Linked DNA regions of Lepisosteus oculatus. The protein of the gene in region 2 interacts with the protein of the main gene of each other region in a pairwise test. Links are inferred from orthologs where the notes say so. Each region holds a gene or a part of one and is shown on either strand. Other genes may lie near its edges.

The links. The genes of interacting proteins can lie anywhere in the genome.
Region 1: the proteins of stx4 (region 2) and bet1 interact in binary tests that used the Homo sapiens proteins (3 or more experiments, as listed by UniProt). The two-hybrid records come from large-scale screens. The link is inferred for Lepisosteus oculatus from reciprocal best matches to the Homo sapiens genes STX4 and BET1.

Annotation. Positions count from the first base shown.
Region 1 is NC_090705.1:4,535,569-4,543,445, forward strand, and holds the start of bet1 (BET1 homolog), read left to right. Parts: upstream 1-4,135; 5' UTR 4,136-4,296; coding exon 4,297-4,315; intron 4,316-6,284; coding exon 6,285-6,394; intron 6,395-7,877. UniProt on the Homo sapiens protein: Required for vesicular transport from the ER to the Golgi complex. Functions as a SNARE involved in the docking process of ER-derived vesicles with the cis-Golgi membrane.
Region 2 is NC_090699.1:15,298,443-15,306,685, reverse strand, and holds the start of stx4 (syntaxin-4), read right to left. Parts: upstream 3,439-8,243; 5' UTR 3,280-3,438; coding exon 3,250-3,279; intron 1,742-3,249; coding exon 1,628-1,741; intron 924-1,627; coding exon 824-923; intron 1-823. UniProt on the Homo sapiens protein: Plasma membrane t-SNARE that mediates docking of transport vesicles. Necessary for the translocation of SLC2A4 from intracellular vesicles to the plasma membrane.

The sequences.
Region 1 (7,877 bases), on a different chromosome or scaffold from region 2:
ATCCAAATCCGTGGTCCGTGAGAGAGAGCGACGAAGGTAGCCAGGGGCGAAGCAGGGTTGGTAATCAATAGTCAAGCCAGTAGGTGTCCAAATCAGAAATCCGTGAGAGAGAGAGAGGTGAAGCCATTGCCGAAGAGTATCAGGGTCGAAATCCAGAAGTCAGTAGAAGAAAACGCGCACAAGAGAAGGTTTAAGGCAATCTCAACAGTGAGCGAGGAGTGAACGGAGGAAGCGGGGAGTGAAGTGCTAATTGCTAATAGCGGCACAGGTGTGTGCGCCGGGAGGGGCACGCGGGAGTAAGATTCGTGACAGTAGGGACAGAGGCCAGGCGCTCCGAGCCCCGGACTCAGACGGTCAGGAGGCCGTGATGAAGCCTGTGCCGTCGGGTCTCTCCTGGACCCGCTGGTAGGCGGGCTTCTGGGCATCCATCTCCCAGTGCTGAGCCAGGAATAGCAAGAGCACCAGGCTGAAATAGTAGGACAAAGCAAGAGGCAGGTGCTCATAATCAACTAAAATACAAAAGGGTCGGAGTGTCCTTTAAGAGGAGGGATGCTGTTCGTGACAGAACATGTATGTACTGTAAATCTGCAATGGAGGCAAAACTTAACATTCCTCAGGAAACAGTGGGCAAATCAGGTACTTGGAAATATGGTAACTATTTTGGTAACACATAAACGGAGATGACTATAAGGATAATACACTCCATTTTCTGTGCTCATGATGCCTGGTTCCCAGAAAGTCTTCCAGTTTCTAAGAATAATGAAGTGGATTGACCTTATGTTTCATTGACTTTTCTGTAACTACCCTATGGGAACATCAGCTATGTAAATAAAAACCCTCAGAAACTCCTGGAAAAAGGACCTGCACTGTGTATGTATGTATGGATGCTTGTACAGTATGTTTGATTAATATCTGATTAATTAAAATGTGTGATCCTTGAGACCTACAGTAGATAGTGTGTCAAAAATGAATGACTGCTAATCCTACAGAATCATGATGCAGATAAAAAATGGTTAAGAAGGTATAAGGGGAAATAGCATAAACATTTTATTCAAACGTCTCTCAATGGTATTAACAGCATGCTTTCTTCTTTGCCTTCAAAGCACTTTTATCATTAGCACACACTCCTCTATAGGAAGACCACCAATGGAGAAGACAGGCAGCTACATGTATCAGACCCTAAAGACAATGATTAATCACAGCAAGACACTGCTCTTTCCCCATCTCTTATAATAGGTCTGAATAATTATAATAGGCTTGAGTAATTGCTTTGTTGCTGTTGTTTTTACATCTTATCCAAGGTGGATCCTCTGCTGTTACCATTTTGCTGTACCTTAAATATCATAAAGGACATTTTGCAAGTTAATATTTTGCAGCATTAAGTTGCTTTTAGCACATACTGTCTGTCATAACAGGCAAATACTAAGTACAGTGATGTGCTGCTAAAGCAGAGTCTAATGTGTTTTTTGATGTGAAATACACTGAAAGGCTTTTTCGCTTTGGTAATTGGTGAAAAGCAATGAACTTTTCATGCACACATGACTCACCTATGATAATATCGAAATAGCTCTCCGGAATAAAGAAAACTTCCACACCAAAGAGCAGGAAAATATTTCTAAACACTTACAGTATGTAACAGTTGTAATGATATTTTCTTTTCCATTATCATTATTCCTCACTTTTGTCAGCTCTGGTGTTCAATTGTTTCTTTAGAAGAAGAAAAGTCTGTTGGCTTAGATCAAGCATCGAAGAATTCAAACAAAAGAGAACATTTTCAAGGACTATTTCAAGCATTAAAAAAATGTTTTCATTCTCATTGAAAAGACCTTAACACGAATATCACTAAGGGCTCTAAAGAAACTCTATGATTGTACGCCAAGATTGGTGTGATAAAAATGACCAGATGATTAAATGTTTAAAGTTGATTAATAATACAATATTAACATATATATGGCGCATTAGCTCAAACAAATGTGCATTTATGGTTATATATTTAGATATAAATATAAAGTAATGTTTTTGAACTCTTTTCTGCTGGTGCTCATTCCAGCTGAACTCTACATTTCCAGTGCTAATGTCACAAGATGTTGGCCGTTGAAGCAGTAACAGGTTGTGATGAATCGCGTTGTGTTGATGGCCAGGATTGTGTCAATGTGACAGTGGAGCAGGGAACAATTAGTAACAATGGTCATACCCAAGTCATCCAGGAAGCAATTAGGTACTGACGCATGGAGGTGTGAGGCTGAGCCAGTTCGTCAGACCTTGGGCAGGGGAGTGGAGCAGGAAAGCACACAAAGAAATGAGAAGTGCCCATGACACCTAGGACTTCCCGTTCTCAAACGACCTGAGCTTCCTCCTGATAATGTTCTGGGTGCACCCGCCACTGACAGAGACAATAGGAAAACCACTTGGGGGGATGGCTTATGGGAGGGATAAAAAGATCTGAGCCTCAACAGAGGAGTCTCTTCTCCAGGGTAGCCCCTCGACACGAGACAGGCAGTGCAAGGAAACCCGCAACCTGCGAGTCCACAGAGGAGATTCTCCCTGGAGTTGCAGATCATGGGAGAAGGATGCAGAGGAACGGAGGTACTGCACAGAGACATCTAATACTTGGAGGAAAGAAGCAAAGAAACCGGCCTGGTGAGTCGATACTGACCCAAGGGGAGAGTAGTGCACTCTAAAGGAGGACTCCCGATATAGTCCAAACGGAGACCGGGGAAATTGGACTGTGCGGCATCACTTTTCTATACATTGCTGTCCTTCTCTGTAACACCAAGACTTTCCAACGCCCTCTCCTCATCACCTGCAAGGACAGCTGACCCCCAGGAATTCATTAGGACTCTTGAAAGAACCTGTCCTTGCTGATAGTTAATGTTACTGTACATAATTTATTAAAAAGGGTACTTATACGATACTAATGCTTATCGCTGGTCTGTGTGTGCATTGGTGATTCTGGGAGATAATCAGAACGTGTGGTAATGTAGAGGGTTTTTTGGAGAAATCATTGAGAAGCTGTTATTTGACTTCATGACACCCATGATTAACTTATTCAACTTTCACAGACGGGTCTTATATTTAATATACTGTATAAACATAAGTTCTCACCACATACATACTATATAAACTATAAATACTATATAACAAAGGTATTAAGTACAAAACAAAAAGTCTTGCAGGTAACCCTAACTCTGTCAGTATAGACCTGACATCTACAGTTACTTTGTTCTTGAATGGTGTGAAAATAAAAGATAAAAATGCAATTTTAAAAACCACATAAGGAATTTGTTTAAACTCTGCTTCATTTCTATCTGTATATCCTTCTAGAATTTAATATTTGTAAATACTAACTGAAAATTATTTTGGACAACTCCTGACAGATACTGCCTTACAAAAAACATTTACAACTGTTCATAGGCTTTAAAATGTTAAACTAAGACTTTCTAGATTCAGACTTTTCAACAAGATTCAACAAGATGATTTGTGTATTTTAAGCCTGGGGAAAAAAAAAACTCGGACACATGTGTTACTTGTTTTGGACAGACTTGCAGAACTTTAATAATACGCATTAAAAAGGCAGACTTAAAAAGTTTCATATAAACTTTACGCTTTGAGCCATGTAATATGGAAGAATAGTTATAATTTGACATAATATTCACAAATAAAAAAATTGGATGAAAATGTTTCATTTGTTGAGTTCTATTTTTTAATTCTCTCTAGCAGTATACTGTTTTGTGATTTTTTTTTATTGTTCACTTAGCTTTTCGGATACTTTTTATTCCTTAGATGTATCATTTGATGTACAATATTAAAAAGGCAGTTGAAGCATGAGCCTCTTCCGCTTGCATTGCGTTTGCTTCAGCACTTTCAGGTTGCAGTGAGACTTTGCTATGCATTCTGGGCGATGTAGTCTTTTTTTTTGCTACTCAACTTGTCTAAGTAATTTAAAGAACTCAGTAATAGCCAAATAAATAATCATGCCTCCTGTTGAATTTGAATCATATGCCTGAATGTACCGGACATGATGTTGTGAGAGTGGTCACAGACAAGCGCAGGGAGAGCCGGTGTGAATTATTCTTTAGTCAACCGCATGCACTCCATTACCCACAAACCAAGATGTTCTGCCGTGTTCCGGGTTGTTGTTGTCGTGAAGTTTCATTTTTTTTTTCGATAGCTGCTGTTCATACACGTTGGCAAAGCAGAAATCGGTTTCGGGAATTGTAACTTCGGTAAATTATTGTTACCGAGAAAATAAGTGTTGGCAACAAACGTTGTCTGAAAGGAGTCTAAGGGATCAAAATGAGGCGAGCGGGTTTGGGTAAGAGGAGCTGTATCCACTCTTGTTTCTGAAAATGGTTTACTGAATTGTACCATGAACTCGAAATAAAATTTAAGGGGACTCGTTGGTTATTAAAATTTATAAACGATATATTGATTATTTCTAAAGTAAATAGAGGATTTTATTATACAGGGTGAAAAGGTTTGTCCATTACTAAATGTATTAATTAATTTAAGACGCAGTCTGAACAATAATTCCTGAAATCCCCGTAGTTTGAACTCTTCATACCCTGCGCCCTAAACGAGTGAAATGTCTCGAAATCCGAGCTGTTATTTCCCATGAATGGGAGACGGTTCAATCAATTTTACAAGTATATCACAGTCTTAGGATGTTTTTTTTTATCATTTCTCACTAGGGAAACAGCTCATTAAATACAGTCGAGATTGAAAGTTGATTTAAAACGTATTCGTTGATTTAAAACAAGAATCTCGATGTACATCAGTTTTTTTTCTGTAGAACCTGGTTTTATACTCTATATGACTAGACTGTTTAGACAAATTGTTTTCAAGTTCTAATACCTGTCATTTTGCTTGATAATTCATTCATCAATTACATGGGTACTATGGTTAGTTGCAATATTTTAAAGTGAAGTTAGACAAGTGAAGTTAGTGCAAAAGTTGGACCTTCTTAGTTTAACACTTCATCGAGCAAACGTCATTGTTGATAAGATCGGATATACATTGTATATACAAGAACAGTTAAATGTTATTGAATCAGGGCTGGGGTGATCCCAAGAATGTTATTTTTTTATAACATTTATTTTTTTTTAGAAATTTAGAATCACCAGTTTTATGTGTTAGTCCCACCCAGTTTAGAACAGCAAAGTTATGGTTTTTCACAAGTTGTTTCATAACTCCTCCTTCCAGTCAGTCATTTCTTGACACATCACAGACAACCCCACTCTGTGCCACAGGTTCAGTGCTGGTTGGTGGAGAGGCCCATCCTTCACCCTCAGCACTGCAAGCTTGCAAACACTCCAGAAGACTACAGGGGGCGCTGTGTCACTGACTACACCCACTCTACCCTCGCCCATTTCCAGTGCCGCTGACTGGGGAAATTTGTGTCACAGTCAGCTGCTGACATGGCCCATGCTTGAACCCATGATCACAGAGCTCTACCTGCAAGGAACTTGACCATTTCAGCCTTTTGGATTAAAGGATTTGCAAGCCTGTTTCATTTAATATCACTTTATTGGCCATATACAATTTCTTGCATTAGGAATGATCTTTTCGCATGCCACAGCTTGCTCTCCATGAGACACACAGACAGGGAGAGAGAAGCTGGGGGTCAGAGCGCAGGGTCTGCCATTGTATGGCACCCCTGGAGCAGTTGGGGTTAAGGGTCTTGCTCAGGGGCCCAACAGAGTAGGATTCCTCTGCCGGCTGCGGGATTTGAACTGGCAACCTTCCAACCGCAGGCACAGATCCTGAGCCACAGAGACACTGCTCCGCCCACTCATTTAAAGAGTAGTCTGGGGCTCATCATCCCTGGTCAAAGATAAGGAAGGATTGGTGATGGTGACCTGTCAGATTTTACTGGGCACACCCTTAGTTGGCTTTCTAAGCCACATGGTTTAATCATTTTCTTTTTTAACCTGTTTGCAAGTCTGTGAAGATCAATTTATTTTGCCAAAAAAAGAGTGTAGTTTTTAAGTATTGTATTAATCATATACTGCAGACATGTTTTCCTTGTCGCCGTCCTTTCATTTATGTAAAATAATGGGAATTTCCCTTTATGGCCACAGTAATTGTAATTAAACAGTTAGTGAAAGCAAGTACTTCGAAATGGAGATGTAGGGAACAATACAGCCGACATGATTGTATAAACCTGTACTGTATATCTAATGTTGTGGAAAATTCAAAGTTTAATTGTATTGCTCACAACATTGTAATGAACCAGTCATGATATTTTTATTTTATCTTTGGATGTTATCACCTTCTTTTAACAGGTGATGGAGCACCCACAGGAAATTATGTAGCAAGTGGATACAGTGTTCATGAAGAAGAAAATGAAAATTTATCCGAAGGTTTAAGAGCTAAAGTCAGTGCTTTAAAACATGTAAGTACAGTTCACTGACCTTCCAGTTTTGGAAAGTGGAGGTGTCCTTGTTTATTTTGGGGGGCTGCAATGATGGATCAATTCTGACCTTCAAAGGTTCAGAACACATTGCTGAATAAAGCTTTTGATAGTTGTATTTCATATGATTTACTAATGATGTCAAATTGTGTAAGTTTATCTTTTGGAAAATCCTTGTTTTATATGTAATCCATACAAATGTAACATCCCTGTGCATTTTAAAGAGAACAGTTCATTGCTATAAAAAAGGGTTCTGTTTCTGTACATATATTTGAAAAATATACTTGTTTTGTATACAACTATATATATTTTTTCACCTAAAAGCACAGAAATTGTGTAATTCATTTGTCGTAAGTATGTGTCCATTAGGTTTTTATGTACTGACAACTACTACTGATAAAACAGGGCTGCTTTGTTGTAATGCAGTTGTTGGAGTCTGTTTTGTATTCGACATTATATAGTTTTTTGGCATCCTTACTTTTGAAGTGATTTACAGTGGCCATAAGCTAAACAAGCCCCTTTTCTATAACAGAAGCCACTATTTCACTATTTAAAGTTTATACCACTCTTTCATACAAACAATTGTATTCGAAGGCCACAAACAATTATTATTATCATCATCTTCAGGAGCCCAATTCTGAGTCAGTTTTACCAAGAAAATGTCTCCGTTTTTCTTTGTCTGTTAGCTATCCTAGCAAAATAGGTGCTGCACTGTGTAATTTTTGAAACAGCACCCTTGATTCAGCAGGCTGAGTGAATAAGGGTTTCAGAGATTTGTGTGGCGTGTTAGAGTCAAAAAACATTATGTCGGAAATGGGAGCCATAGCCTTTCTGCATTGTGACCAATTTAGTGTTATAACAGGGACCATTCTGTAATAACTCTTTGATTCTCAATATTTTCCCAAATCTAAAGACTTTGTGACGCACTGCCTCCATCATCACACAGATAGATGTCACTGGCCTGAGTATACTGTATTATCATCAGCGGTGGGACCAAACCTTATTTCAGTGTGTAATCAGGGTTGTGCCTCGAAGTGCACAGACGCCCTCACCTGCAAGGCACCGATGACAGTGGAGCCCGGAGCGCTTCCTCTGCGTCTCTCGGAAGTTTTCTGCCTTTGTTGACGTCAAAGTTGAAAAACAGAACTCTCGCCGCATGAAACTCCCAAGGCCAGAGCCCCCGTCTCGCTTGTTGCTTGTCAGAAGTACATGTCCATCCGTCGTTTTCCTAACCGCTTAATCAAGTTCAGGGTTGCTGGGGAGCCGGGATCTAACCTGGAAAGCAAAGGGCACAAGGCAGGGTACACCCTGGATGGGACGCTAGTCCATCCAGGCAAAACTAAAATGTATATGTATTCTTTTTTTTTTTACATGCGACTTTTCCAAAATTCCACAGCACGCCCGTTGCGGTCTGAAGGCACCCTGGTTGAAAAACAGTGTAGTAACTTCTGCCACTCAACTTGAT
Region 2 (8,243 bases):
CAGGAGACACCGTTGGGTGAAGGCAGCGCATCTCCAGTCTTCCTCAAGAGACGCCGTTGGGTGAAGGCAGCGCATCTCCGGTCTCCCATAGGAGACGCCGTTGGGTGAAGGCAGCGCATCTCCAGTCTTCCTCAGGAGACGCCGTTGGCTGAAGGCAGCGCATCTCCAGTCTTCCTCAGGAGACGCCGTTGGGTGAAGGCAGCGCATCTCCAGTCTCCCATAGGAGACGCCGTTGGGTGAAGGCAGCGCATCTCCAGTCTTCCTCAGGAGACGCTGTTGGCTGAAGGCAGCGCATCTCCAGTCTTCCTCAGGAGACGCTGTTGGCTGAAGGCAGCGCATCTCCAGTCTTCCTCAGGAGACGCTGTTGGCTGAAGGCAGCGCATCTCCAGTCTCCCGCAGGAGACGCTGTTTGGTGAAGGGGTAAATAAATTGCTACATCTGTAAATGAGGCATGGCCTACGAATGCATAGCCAAAGGATCCACTCCTGGGTTTTACCAGTGGCAGATATTTGAACCAAGACTGCAGCCTCCAAATGCATAGCAGGTTGATCCAGTTCCAGGTTTTGTAAGCTGCTAAGCTTTTCGACTCCGCCACATGCAACAGCAACTCCGCGAGAGCTGGGCAGACCTTCATCCTGCAGTGCTCATCCCCTAGAACAGAGCACCATGCCGCTCCAGAAACACGTCATCACCGCGCACTGAAAGAAGGACGCTTCACAGGCGCCTTCTGAACCGGAGCTCTGACCATCCGGAAAGGAAGGAGCCGAGTCCCGTTCCGCGTGCAATGTCGCACGGGAGTGTCCCGGGGGAGAAGCTTACTCACTTTCCTCAGGCAGGGCCACTCCCAGTATCGTCCTCTGCTTGACCTCCAGGCTGTTGACCTTCATGGTGAGAGCGGCCAGGCCCTCGTGGATCTCTCTCACCTGCCGGACAGACACGGGGTCCAAGAGGTTAGTGACCGGCGCCCCCACAGGACACGCAGTCCCCCGATTTATTTATAGGGGGCGGTGCTTTTCCGACCCACTGAACGATTCTATCTTCCCAGCATGCCTCAAACGGACAGATCGCTTGTAGGTCTTCCTACACGCACCGGTAACACAGGAAGCCAACACAAGGCAGGTCACAAAAGAGAGGAGGCACATACCCAAGGGGACGTCCACTGGAGGAAATGATTAGTTTCGTTTCGCTACTTTATTGTGCTTTGCGCCCAAGGTTCTTGCGAGGCAGAGACTACTACCAGCTACTGCTCAGCAAGTCAGGCAGAGAAGAGAGACAGGGCTGCGCTGTGTGAACTAAGGGGGGAATTATAGAGAAAACCAGGAGGACGAGCCCAGAGGGATGTATGTACCCAGGACACCAGCCCCACTCCCTACATCGCTCTGCAGAGGATATTTTACGACACACTTTCAACACTGCTCAGCAGGAACTTAAATACATCAATTCTAGTTAAAAGTTCTTCTTGTGACTTTATGGGTTCGTCACACATGGAAACATCAGTGTTGTTCCTGTGGCTGGGATTCCCAGACTGCTCCAGCTTGGATTCAGACCTTCAGGGGTGACCGTCACCGAGGGGACACTAGTCCACCATAGACAGATTCTCATTAACAGGTTCAAGAGTTAAAATTACCTTCTGGAAAAATTCATCGTTCTCATCCTTGGCAGCTTTCTGTGATGTTTTCCCTGTTCCTGGCTTTATCATCAGAGGTCTGCCTTCCTCCTCCTCATCAGAACTCTCCGCCTTCTGCACACAGAGAGAGAGGGGTTCATACAGACACACTGACTGACTGGACACTCCAGTACATTAACACTGCACTGAGAGAGAGGGGTTCATACAGACACACTGACTGACTGGACACTCCAGTACATTAACACTGCACTGAGAGAGAGGGGTTCATACAGACACACTGACTGACTGGACACTCCAGTACATTAACACTGCACTGAGAGAGAGGGGTTCATACAGACACACTGACTGACTGGACACTCCAGTACATTAACACTGCACTGAGAGAGAGGGGTTCATACAGACACACTGACTGGACACTCCAGTACATTAACACTGCACTGAGAGAGAGGGGTTCATACAGACACACTGACTGACTGGACACTCCAGTACATTAACACTGCACTGAGAGAGAGGGGTTCATACAGACACACTGACTGGACACTCCAGTACATTAACACTGCACTGAGAGAGGGATTAATACACTCTTTTACTCACACAGGTGTTGGTATTAATCTGATCTAAGGGGAGTACAACACAGCACTGCAGAGGGAAACCGAAAGCGAGGAGCAACGTTCATCAGTATTTCCACGTTAATACTCTTAGGCTTTATGACAGACTCCAGGGTAGCTCAAGTTGGGACTACTAACACATCCAGAAGAAAATCACCCAAAACAAACAGCACCTTTAATATTAAATTTACCGGTATGCTTGAATATTTAATTCAAAAAGACACTAGGCGTATTAACTCACAACCTCTGTCCGCATACTGCCCAGATTAACCGAGAACCACTGACAGACTGGTACTGTCTGACAGAGGGACACTGTCCGTACTAAGCGCGAGAGACGTTTGGTGGAAAAAACGTGGAGATACTGGGCAGTGGCAGGCGATCATTCAAGTTGACATAAAGACCGTCCCTTGTGGGCGTCCGGGACAAAGTACTCTTATTCCATGCAACAAGTCGAGCTCCTTCGTCCTTTCCGTGTGAAGTTTCGTTTCGGGCTGGACGTCACTGAAGAAGACACCTTCTGTGTGTGTGTGTCAGGAGCCCCCGGACTGCCTGTTGAGGTGGAGCGCTATTTATACACCGGGCAGCCCCGGAGGGGGGTTTGGAGAAACTATTTTTTAAACAGGCCGTCGCTTCTCAGCTCCCGTGTGTTGTTTTCTTAGTGCTTCAGAACATAGCAGAAGATACAACACAGATAACAGGGAACCAGACGATGAGAGGAAGCCCAGATACGCGATTTTAACTGTCTTCCTTCTTTGTCCTTTTAATTTCAACGGGACCTTCACAAATCTATCTTTTATTATTATTATCATGCTTATTTTCCACGATCAGCGCCTCGTCAACGACTGAAGTGCAAAAAAAAAAGGACGAGGGCAAAGCTACCCCCAGCCCTTTCTCGGTGTCGATCGCGACGTAGAAAGTAGCGAGACTGTGTGCCACAACACGCCCAGGGTGCGTGCAAAGCAGACAGCCACCAGCCCGGCTGGCCGAGGGTCGGAGAGACGGGACCGCACTTACATCGCCCAGCTCTCTCGTCCGGTCTCGCATCTCGGCTGCACCCCGACCCCACTCGCATCCAGACCCGACACGGAAAACGGACTTTGCACCCGGGCTCTACGACGGCACGCACTCGACCTCCTCCTGCGCTCCCAGTAAACTTTCCTGCCAGCGGCGCTGCAGCGTGACTCTGCCGGCCAATCACGCCGCCCTCCGGGAGGAAGTCGGGCCCCGCGCATGCGCGGCCGGCCTGCGCAGGGGAGGGCGGGAGCAGGGGGTGGTCTGGGTGTCGCTTATTGTGATTCCTTCGGAATGGAAGTGATTTATTCTCCGGTTGAGAACAATTTAAGGGGGTTTAAACTATCCCTGACCCCTTTCATTAATGACAGTGCGGTAGTCATTCGCGTTGCTCGCTAGGGGGCCCTGGTGTTCCAACTGCAGTTGTTCCCAGAAGAATCATTAACGTCATTCAGCCAACGCAGCACATCACTACTCGGGGCAAAGTGTTTATAGTATTACAATCTAGCGGACTTTATAGATCGATAAAATACATAAATCAGGCGACACAACAGCGAGCACAAAACGGAGCATTTAAAAACTTGGCTCTATCCGAGGAACCGATGTTTCAGTGGTGGTTGCAGTAGTGTTTGGGTGAAACACGAACCAGAGGGCACGAGTGACAGTTGCAAGGAAGCGCATTTAAAATTCAGAGCAGGAGGCAGCATTTTACACAAAGGGTGGTGGGAGTGTGGAACAAGCTGCCCAGCCATGTTGTTGAAGCCGATACCTTGTTTCAGGACACAGCTGTATGAGATCCTGATGATCTCACTCTTCATATACTGTAGATATGCAGTACCAGTACCAGTCAAAGGTACTGTGTGAAACCAGGTTTTTCCATCATTATCTGTAGTTTAAACTGTATAAACTTGTTAATCAACACTTAATATTTAATTACATGATACTGTATGTGAACTTATAATCTTAGGTGAACTGCATTGAAAATGTTAATTTTTCATTTTCAATAAAATGAATACTCAAAGCAAGCAGTCTGAAGCCCAGGTTAATTAAAAGTCAGAAATGTGTATAACACGGTGTTAGCACACTAAAAGAAGTTTGAAATTGTCTTTGTTAGATGTTCCCACAGTTTACTAGCATGTTACCTCATTTACCTTTTGTAAAGACACACGTGATTATTATAAATATAGGGAGCATGGGCAAACGTTTGTCATTCCTGAATGAACATAGCAAAATTTGCTCAGCAAGCAAGGAAGAAACACAGTTTATAATTACTTTAAGAAATGAAAGTCAATCTTTAAGACAAATTGCAAGAACAAATTGCTAGTGTCAGTAACTGCTGTGGCCAAGACTATCAAACGATATGAAGAATCTGGCACTCAGGAGGACCGAAAAAGATCAGGCAGGCCAAAGGTGACCTCAGAATCAGAGAATACGTTCATTAGAGTCACAAGTCTGCCAAACTGGCGACTAACTGACCCTGAAATACAGGCTGAGCTCAGTGCAACTAGAAGACCAGATGTTTCAGAGGAGTTCACCTGTTCAGAGGAGGTTGCGTGAAGCTGGCCTCAAAGGTCCATTTTCTGTGTTTTTTGGCCCAGGCAGGTCTCTTCTTCTTATTCTGCACTCTTAACAAGGGTGTCTTTGCAGCAGTCTTCCTGGTAGGCCAGCGTCACACCGCCGCCTCTGAAAATGATCCAAAACGATCCTTTGCTTTGAGACTGTGTGTTTTTGTTTTTGCAAATTGAAGTGTGCTTTTCCTTCTAACGCTCGGTGTCACTTCACATCATTAATAAACCAGGCCAGTTTGTGGGTCAGCAGTTCCCACCGTGTTTCTGTTAACTACTGCGCACACACAGTATTTATCACTGCCCAGATCCACTGATCTTCAGATCTGGGGCTCTTGGCAGGACCAGGAAAGTGCTACAGAGTTGCAGCCTTCAGAGTTTTAGCCTTGCAGTTTTCAGCCCAGCCAGATCAATCAGTGAAAATCCATCTGTCACCCTCTTCCAAACTACAGTAACACATCTTTATTGATTCATGACGCAAAGTGAAAATACAATCTTTAGCGATTTCTTGTTCTTTTAAAAAAGCTGTACTGTATATATGATCATTAATGTTTTTAATTTGTGCCTGTTCCTGTTTTTAAGCTAAGGTTATTACTGTCGTTTTGAATGGAAGAGTTTACATTAAAACAGATGAGATGGAGAAAATAGTTTTATCTGAAATACTCCCATGCACACGATTCCTACGTCGAAAATACTCCAGTCCACACGATTCTTATATAGAAAATACTCCAGTCCACACGATTAATATATCCAAAATACTCCAGTCCACCCTATTCCTATATCTGAAATACTCCAGTGCACACAATTCCTACATCTGAAATACTCCAGTCCCAAGATTCTTATATCCAAAATACTCCAGTCCACATGATTCTGATATCGAAAATACTAAAGTCTACACAATTCTTATATCGAAAATACTCCAGTCCACACAATTCTTATATCCAAAATACTTATCCAAAATACTTAGTGCATATATTCCCTGTATCTGAAAAACTCCAGTCCACACTATCCCTATATCTGAGATACTCCAGTCCACACTATTCCTGTATCTGAAATAGTCCAGTCCACACACTTAATTCCCAAGTCTCCACCCGTGTCATCAGATGGTGCAGACACCACACCTGTCGTGAGGTTCTTACTTGTTAACAGTGCAGGTGTAGTCGAACAGCAGACAAGCTGTGTGTTTAGAGCGCCATCTGCTGGGATAGCCTGACTCTCTTTCTCACCCTAACCTTGGCTGGAAACTTCATCCTTCACCTGTCAAATTCAGATCTTTCTTGACATGAGTGATGAATTACAGTGCCGCCAAAGTACTACCCATTATTAGGCTGTGACAGGAGATCACACACAGGACTGCAGCTCTGCTGCATTTCCTCCCTCAGTACAGGACTGGGAGCTGTTCCTGTTCTGCCAGCTGATGGAATTCTTAGATTATTTTAGGGAAGAATGTATACTACTAGAGTATTTCTTGTAGTGCTGCAGAAAGTGCATCTCCTCTTCTGTTTTGCCTTGCTGTCCTCTCTAGGCAGCCAGGCCTGTCTGTGTCCAGTTTCCATGTCCAGTCTGTGTTCACTGAGCCTGTCCTCCCTGGACAGCCAGGTCTGTATGTGTCCAGTTTCCATGTCCAGTCTGTGGTCACTGGGCCTGTCTTCTCTAGATAGCCAGGTCTGCCTGTGTCCAGTTTCTATGTCCAGACTGTGGTCACTGAGCCTGTCCTCTCTGGACAGCCAGCTCTGCAGGTGTATTAGGCAGACCAGAGAAAAGCCCTGTACTCCGTCCTCTGGGAACGCAGCATGGACAGAGCAGTCCTGGCCCTTGTTCTGTTGGCAGGCAGCAGAGTTCCAGAGGGAAGAGAGCCAGCATCCTTGATTATAAATCAGTGTTTCCCCCAGAATACCTCTGGATATTCGATTTGAGCTTTGGCAGCGACTGAGGAACTGTTGCAAACTGCAGGCACACAGAACGACCTGGCTCCCAGCCCTGGTGACTTTCTATATTTTAATCTAGCAGGGGATTAATACGGGCTGAGGAAGATGATGACGAAGATGATGGAGATGCTGTACTTAATATATATGTATCTACAGTCTATGGAGAGTGAGACAGAAAAGGGGCGTGTGTGCTTCATCAGGTAGAGATACGAGAGAGTCAGGGGGCTAATGGAGGTGATGGCGACAGGAAGATGAGCCAATCAATCAATCCACCAACCAATTCATCAATCCATCCGTGTTTTTGACAGTTTTATCCAGTTCAAGGCCGCAGGGGAGCCAGAGCCTATTCCTGCAAGCCCAGGTGACGGGCTCGAGCACGGTCCACCCTGTCCATCACGGGACAGACAGACACAGGCTCACACCCGGGCCGGTTTTCCCAGAAGCCAATTCAGCTCCCAGCGTGCCTCTGGACTGCGGGAGGAAACCGGCGCACCAGGAGGAGACCCACACGAGCACGGGGAGAAGGGCACTGGCCGCCCTCACTGGGGGGACCCTGATGGCCCTCGGCCCGCAGTCAGCTCTGGCAGGATCTCCTGCTGCAGAGGCGATGGGGGTGACCAGCCCACGAACGTGAGAGCCCAGACTGACAGCAGAGTGCACCGTGGGACACGGCGCGCTTGAGGAAGCTACAGTGCTTCACTGAGACATCTTTCATGTCTTCTAGCCCATCGGCTCTCAGTCCTAATCCTGGGGGACGGCTCACCGATTCACTCTCACTCTCACCTATGATCTGAACCTCACAGTGCCTTCTTCCTTTCTTTCTTACCAAAAACTCAAACACACATTGAAAATCTACCTCTACCTCACATGTCAAAAGCTCACTCCCAATCATTTCTATCCCTTTATTTTCTTCTGTTGATGCATATTTTTGCACATACCCTGTTACCTTTTTGTTGTTTTGCACATTGCCTGTTGTTGTTTTTTGCACATCGTGTGTTGTTGTTGTTTTGCACATTGCCTGTTGTTGTTTTTTTGCACATCGTCTGTTGTTGTTTTTTGCACACTGCCTGTTGTCTCTGTCTTTCTTTTGCTACACAATTGTATTGTTGTTGTTGTTTTTCTCTTTGTACTACTTATGTCCGAGAGCTAGCTAAATAGCATTTCGTTATACCCTATACCATGTATATGAGTGTAATGACAATTAACTTGAAACTTGAACCGATGACTTCAGCTGGATTGTTCATTGCAGGCTAACTGATTCCAGCTTTCCTACTGCGGCGCCATTTGAACGTTTTTCGGAATCTCCCGAAGTGCCGGATGGGAGCGGTCGGCAAGCGGAACCGGGCCTGGGTCGAAGCCGGAACATTCAGAACCGCCCTCAGTGGCGTGTGTGAGCTGAATCGGACCAGCGGGACTGGAACAAAAAAAGGAAAGCGCCCGGTGTTGACACAGCGTCGTTCCCAGTCTCTGCCTCCTCATCGCCAACCGGTCTCCTGCTCTGAGC